Macaca fascicularis: one gene and its partner. The protein of the gene in region 2 purifies or fractionates together with the protein of the main gene of each other region. This does not show direct contact. Links are inferred from orthologs where the notes say so. Each region holds a gene or a part of one and is shown on either strand. Other genes may lie near its edges.

Evidence for each region.
Region 1: the proteins of TONSL (region 2) and ASF1B purify together in Homo sapiens (affinity purification with mass spectrometry; 5 studies listed by BioGRID and IntAct, counting the BioPlex papers as one, with this or other methods). This does not show direct contact. The link is inferred for Macaca fascicularis from reciprocal best matches to the Homo sapiens genes TONSL and ASF1B.

Annotation. Positions count from the first base shown.
Region 1 is NC_088393.1:14,539,998-14,543,316, reverse strand, and holds the end of ASF1B (histone chaperone ASF1B), read left to right. Parts: intron 1-601; coding exon 602-778; intron 779-1,640; coding exon 1,641-1,847; 3' UTR 1,848-2,799; downstream 2,800-3,319. UniProt on the Homo sapiens protein: Histone chaperone that facilitates histone deposition and histone exchange and removal during nucleosome assembly and disassembly. Cooperates with chromatin assembly factor 1 (CAF-1) to promote replication-dependent chromatin assembly.
Region 2 is NC_088382.1:154,145,095-154,148,742, reverse strand, and holds part of TONSL (tonsoku-like protein), read left to right. Parts: intron 1-1,087; coding exon 1,088-1,160; intron 1,161-1,263; coding exon 1,264-1,427; intron 1,428-1,502; coding exon 1,503-1,626; intron 1,627-1,765; coding exon 1,766-2,526; intron 2,527-2,633; coding exon 2,634-2,710; intron 2,711-3,013; coding exon 3,014-3,167; intron 3,168-3,234; coding exon 3,235-3,313; intron 3,314-3,648. UniProt on the Homo sapiens protein: Component of the MMS22L-TONSL complex, a complex that promotes homologous recombination-mediated repair of double-strand breaks (DSBs) at stalled or collapsed replication forks.

The DNA.
Region 1 (3,319 bases), on a different chromosome or scaffold from region 2:
CTTGCAGTGAGCCAAGATCATGCCACTGCACTCCAGACTGGGAGAGAGAGAGCAAGACTCCGTAACAAAAAAAAAAAAAAAAAAAAAAAAAAGGCTGGGGGCGGTGGCTCATGCCTGTAATCCCAACACTTTGGGAGTCCAAGATGGGTGGATCACTTGAGGTCAGGAGTTCAAGACCAGCCTGACCAATATGGCGAAACCCCAACTCTACTGAAACTACAAAAATTAGCCAGGCGTGGTGGTAGGCGCCTGTAATCTCAACTTCTCAGGAGGCTGAGGCAGCAGAATCGCTTGAACCTGTGAGGTGGAGGTTGCAGTGAGCTGAGATCCCACCATTGCACTTCAGCCTGGGCAACAGAGCAAAACTCCATGTAAAAAAAAAAGTCAGCCGGGTGTGGTGGTGTGCGTCTGTAGTCCCAGCTACCTGGGACACTGAGGCAGAATTGCTTGAACCCGAGAGGCAGAGGTTGAAAAAAAGAAAACTGAGGGCAGAGAGCATACTTTTTGCTCAGTAAATACATGTTGCTTGGGAATTTGTTTCTACTAATGACATAGAGGCATGGCTGTGGCACTGCTAAGGCCTAGGATGTGTCTCCCCTAGGCTGATGCCCCCAACCCATCCCTCATCCCAGAGACTGATGCCGTGGGTGTGACCGTAGTCCTCATCACCTGTACCTACCACGGACAGGAGTTCATCCGAGTGGGCTACTATGTCAACAACGAGTACCTCAACCCCGAGCTGCGTGAGAACCCACCCATGAAGCCAGATTTCTCCCAGGTGGGTCCTGTTTCCACTTCCTGCTTCCCACAAGGCCATTCTTTATACTTGGGGGGGAGTTCAGCCATTCAAATTGGGAGTCAAGGTTACTTCTTAAGGTTTTCAAGTAATGTTCAGTTCTTACAGTACTGAGTTAGAATAGGAGAAAAAGGCCTTTGTTTCTCAAAGGCATGTCTTAGAGAATTAAGATTAGATAGGCCTGCCTGGGCAACATAACGAGACCCTGTCCCTACCCCCTCCCCACCTCAGAAAATGAGTGAGACATGGGTGGAGTACTCTACTCTGGATGCTGAGGTGGGAGGATCACTTGAGCCCAGGAGTTTGAAGCTGCAGTGAGCTCAGATCATGCCATTGCATTCTGGCCTGGCTAACAGAGACTGTCCCTTAAAAAAAAAAGATAGGTCCTGGGCCAGGTGCAGTGGCTCACACTTTGTAATCCCAGCACTTTAGGAGACCGAGGCTGTCGGATCACCTGAAGTCAGGAGTTCGAGACCAGCCTGGCCAACATGAAAGCCCGTCTCTACTAAAAATAAGAAAATGAGCCAGGCATGGTGCCATGCACCTGTAGTTCCAGCTACATAGGAAGCTGAGGCAGGAGAATCGCTTGAACCCGGAAGGTGGAGGTTGCAGTGAGACGAGATCACACCATTGCACTCCAGCCTGGGCAAAAAAAGCGAAACTCCGTCTCAAAAAAACAAAAAGATAGGTCCTAGCCCTAAATCATGGTGCACAGGTGTTTTCTGGAGTTCCATATGTGGGTTGCTCTTGCTGGGCTTCAGATGGGTGATTGGGGGTGTCCTGGCTCTATGGGAGCAAGGAGAGGGCATGTCAACAAGGGTTGACGTTCCTCTTTCTGCCCCAGCTCCAGCGGAACATCTTGGCCTCGAACCCCCGGGTGACCCGCTTCCACATCAACTGGGACAACAACACAGACAGGCTGGAGGCCATAGAGACCCAGGACCCCTCCCTGGGCTGCAGCCTCCCACTCAACTGCACTCCTATCAAGGGCCTGGGCCTCCCTGGCTGCATCCCTGGCCTCCTCCCTGAGAACTCCATGGACTGCATCTAACTGCAGGAACCCAGTGTCCCAGCACACCAGGAGGGGCAACCAGGCCTCCCAGCAAGTCCTGCAGGGCCCATCTAGAGGACTTTGGGGGCCATCAGCTGCATCCAGGTCTGTCAAACTCAGCCCCTAGGAAAGAACAGGCCTCGGGACTCCTCTAGTCCTGGCCAGAAGGATGATCTCGCTTTTCTTGTACAGGCCTATAAGAAGCAGGTACTTCAGTTCTAAATTCTTTCTGACTTGTGTTCTTTTCGTCTTCATAAATTCTACCTAAGGCCATTGTGCCACTGTGCACCCCTGAGTACCACTGACCCAAAGCTTTCCGACAGACCTCCCTGGCCTGCCTAGAGGCTTTCTTGGTCAGTGCCCGTCAAGGCTCTGGTCCTGCTGAGCCAAAGGTTCTGTCATTCCTTTCTCTTCCCGTTCACTGAGCAGATCCACTCCAGCTTTCTGGTGTCACAGGCAGGAATCTTGGTTAGTAGGTAGACTTAGATCCCATTTCTGTCCTGCTCCCAGGAAGATTCTTAGGTCCTCTTCAATCCAGCAGCCCCTGGAAAACTCTGCTCCCAGAGGTGTGATCAGCAGGATGCTGAGGAACCATGTTGCCTTTCCTGTCAATCATAGCCACCTTCCTGTTATCTCCTAAATGGATCTGGCTTTTTCTAGTTGGAAGATGGTGTCAGAGGGCCTGCCTGCGCAGTCTGTCTCTGGGTCGGGGTCAGGGACCCTCTGCTTCTGGCAGCCTTAATCTTCTCTCTGCTAGGACCAGGGTGATTTCAAGCCAGGGAAGCAACTGGGACCCTGAAAACCATCCCTCCCCAGCCTGCTCTCCCTCTCTGTGCCCTGGTCCCCTTGCTGCCATGTGGATGCTGTTGTGATTGCTGTTTGTATATTATTAAAATGTTTTTATATTAAAAATGTTTGGTTGGTCTGAAAATTAAAAGCACTTGGTTTAGAATGATTGTTTGTGCTTTTGTCTTGTGTGGACTGAAGCAACTTTGTCCACTCTCCCCCAGAAGTGGTCTCATGACCTGTCCAGTGGGTGGGCTGTCCCATGTCTTCTTCCCAGCTTCCTACTCCAGTCTTAATTGGTTCTACAGTATTCCAGACTGAGGTTCCAGAAGAGGTTTTTGTCAAAATTTAAGCAAACCAGCTGTCCTGCAGATAGATTATAATCAGTGATTTTTCAGACTGCCCTTGACCCACAGGAAGAAATTAACATCGTGATCCCAACACACAAACAGCAATGCTTTTATTAAATTTTACTAAACCTTAACCATGTAACCATCCAGAGGCCGAGTGGTCAGCCATTTTCGCGTAATTCACAGAAAGGCTCTGACTCTCCCTCCCTGGAACCATGGTTGATCTGGGAACATGGGTGCAGACAGCGGCTGGAGAGGGCGTAGGCTGTTCAAGTCTAAGCAGCAGATCGGCTTGCAGTTGAGCCCAGCTAGCCCTTCCGTGTCAGGGTGACCTGA
Region 2 (3,648 bases):
CACTTGCTCCTGGGAGATTGAGGCTGCAGTGAGTCGTGATTATGCCACTGCACTCCAGCCTGGGCAACAGAGTGAGACCCTGTTTCAAAAAAATTTAAAAAGCAGAGCCTGAGCAGAGTGGCTTATGCCTGTAATCCCAGCACTTTGGGATGGCAAGGCAGGCAGATCACATGAGCCCAGGAGTTCGAGACCAGCCTGGGCAACCTGGCAAGACCTTGTCTCTACAAGAAATTTTAAAATTAGCTGGATGTGGTGGCGTGTGCCTGTAGTCCCAGCTACTTGGGAGGCTGAGGCAGGAGAATCGCTTGAACCTAGGAGGTGGAGGTTGCAGTGAGATGAGATTGTGCCACTGCACTCCAGCCTGGGTGAACGAGACTCCGTCTCAAAAATAAAAAGCACAAAAAATGCGGTGCCCAGGCCGAGCGCAGTGGTTCATGCCTGTAATCCCAGCACTTTGGGAGGCCGAGGTAAGCAGATCACGAGGTCAGGAGCTCGAGACCAGCCAGGCCAACATAGTGAAACCCTGTCTATACTAAAAATACAAAAATTAGCTGAGTGTGGTGATGCACGCCTGTAGTCCCAGCTACTCAGGAGGGTGAGATGGGGGAATTGCTTGAACCCAGGAGGTTGCAGTGAGCCAAGACCACACCATTGCACTCCAGCCTGGGTAACAGAGTGAGACTCCCTCTCAAAAAAAAAAATGGGGTGCCCGCTGTGTGGTACGCATCTGTGTTGCAGCTAAGTTGGTCAGCCTGGCCAGGATGGGGGCTAGCCCCTGGGCTGAAACCTGGGCACCTTCCCACCCCACCTGCCTCATGCCCCTGCAATTTGGGTGCACCGTCTGCCCACAAGGGGACCGGGCAGGCACAGAGGTTGGAGGATATGCTGTGGCTGGTCCACCTGTCTCAGGGGGAAGCATGTCCTTCACTGGTGACACCTGGGCCAGAGGAAGAGAGGGCAGGGCCACGGGACTTGCTCTGGGCTCTAAGACTGAGGCCCTGGGCCCAGCTCAGGCTGCAGAGCTCATGGGACTGGGGCCAAGCTGTGACGTACACAGGGCCAGGCTCCTTCCTGTCCTTGGTCACAGGGCCACCCCCTGAACCCTCGGGACTACTGTGGCTGGACGCCTCTGCACGAGGCCTGCAACTACGGGCATCTAGGTGAGCAAGGGACAGGAGCCTGGCGCACCTCGGTGGACACGTGGGGCAAAGAGTCAGTCCTTGGGGGGCATCAGGAGCTGGGCTCACATCTCCTGGTCTGTAGAAATTGTCCGCTTCCTGCTGGATCACGGGGCCGCAGTGGACGACCCGGGTGGCCAGGGCTGCGAAGGCATCACCCCCCTGCATGATGCCCTCAACTGTGGCCACTTTGAGGTGGCTGAGCTGCTGCTTGAACGGGGGGCGTCCGTCACCCTCCGCACTCGAAAGGTGAGCCTGGTGGGGCAGAGGGCAAAGGTGAGGGTATGGGGGCTGCTGTGCTCCTGTTCAACTGATACCACACAGGGCCTCAGCCCGCTGGAGACGCTGCAGCAGTGGGTGAAGCTGTACCGCAGGGACCTGGACCTGGAGACACGGCAGAAGGCCAGGGCCATGGAAATGCTGCTCCAGGCAGCCGCCTCAGGCCAAGGCAAGCAGGGCCTCCCGCGTCCCTAGGGTTGCTATGCCTACCCTGAGAGTCCCCGGGCCCTGATTTCGGGAGATGCTCATTCACAGGTGGAATGGGAGGTGCCGGGCCCCTGCCTCAACACGGATTCTCTCTTCCACAGATCCCCACAGCTCCCAGGACTCCCTCACCATCCCAAGTAGCCTTCTGTTTGACCCTGAGACCTCTCCTCCTCTGAGCCCCTGCCCAAAACCCCCCTCTAATAGCACTAGACCCCCAGAGGCCTCTCAGGCCCGTGCCAGGGTCTCCCCAGGGCAGGCAGCACCAGCCGTGGCCAGGCCTCGGAGGAGCAGGCATGGGCCAGCCAGCAGCAGCAGTTCGGAAGGTGAGGACAGCACAGGCCCCCCGCGGCTGTCCCAGAAGAGGCCTCGGTGCTTGGCCACAGCACAACAGGTGGCAGCCCGGACGCCTGGCCCTGCCAGCAACAGGGAAGCAGCCGCAGCCAGCAACAGCCGGGCAGCCTACCAGGCAGCCATCCGGGGTGTGGGCAGTGCTCAGAGCCGGCTGGGGCCTCACCCACCGCGGGGCCAGAGCAAAGCCCTTGCCCCCCAGGCAGCGCTCATCCCGGAGGAGGAGTGCCTGGCTGGAGACTGGCTGGAGCTGGACACGCCCCTGACCCGCAGCCGCCGGCCCCGCCCCCAGGGCACTGGGGACAGCCGCAGGCCTAGTAGTACCTCCGGGTCGGACAGTGAGGAGAGCAGGCCCCGTGCCCGAGCCAAGCAGGTCCGCCTGACCTGCGTGCAGAGTTGCAGTGCACCGGTCAAGGCAGGGCCCAGCAGCCTGTCTTCAGAACCCCCAGGAAGCCCCAGCACCGCCAGGGTCTCAGAGCCCAGTGGGGACAGCTCTGCGGCAGGCCAGCCCTTGGTGGGTGTGCAGAGCTGGAGCAGAGCCCTCTCCTCACTTGGGGCAGGCAGGTGTGGGGTGGAGCCCACTGTGGCTCCTGACTCAGCCCTGCTGCCTTCACCTGCCAGGGTCTGGCCATGCCACCTCCCATCCGGGTTCGAGTTCAAGTTCAGGATCATCTTTTCCTTATCCCTGTCCCACACAGGTGAGACGTCGCCTGCCCTACCCTGCAGCCCACCTGTGCAGCTCCATGCCAGGGTGCTCATGTTTGCACATCAGGGTGGGGAGGGTGACGAGGACTCCCTGGTGTGTTCCTGGAGGACCCTGTGGCTCCCAGGAATGGCAGAGGGGCTGGTGGTGTGCTGGGCTGCAGGGAGAGGAGGGGCCGGCTACCTGGGAGTGGGAGAAGCGGCTGAGGGGGCTTTTGGCCCTGGGCAGGGATGGCGGGTTCCTGGGGCTTCACCCCAGCTGTGCGCAGGCAGCAGCAGCAGCGCCTCTGTCCCTGCAGCAGTGAGACCCACTCTGTGGCCTGGCTGGCCGAGCAGGCGGCCCAGCGCTACTACCAGACCTGTGGGCTGCTGCCCAGGCTCACCCTACGGAAAGAAGGGGCCCTGCTGGCCCCACAGGACCCCATCCCCGATGTGCTGCAGAGCAATGATGAGGTGAGCCGCGGGAGCCAGGGCCTTAGGCACCGGGAGCCCCCAGGTGACTCATGACGGTGCCTTCCAGGTGTTGGCTGAGGTAACTTCGTGGGACCTGCCTCCGTTGACCGACCGCTACCGCAGGGCCTGCCAGAGCCTGGGGCAAGGTGAGAGCCAGGAGAGCTGCAGTTTCTGGGTGAGGCCGTGCAAGGGGATTGGGCACACAGGCTCCACCAGCCCAGTTCGTTCCTGGACCTCGGGTGTTTCGGGGTACACCTCCCCCAGCCTGGTGGGTGCTGTGTCCTGCGCTTGGAAGTATGGATGGCAGGGAGAGGACAGCCCTCAGCCCCCATGAGCTGCTGATGGGGAGATGGTAAAAAGCAGCCAAAAGCCTGGAAAGTCAAGCCCAAGGAGGAGAGCCTCACGTGGGCTGGGAGCTGCTGGAGAAGCTTCCCAGAAAGCTTGTCCCAGGGGGCGTGGAATCTGGCGCTGACTGGTGGAG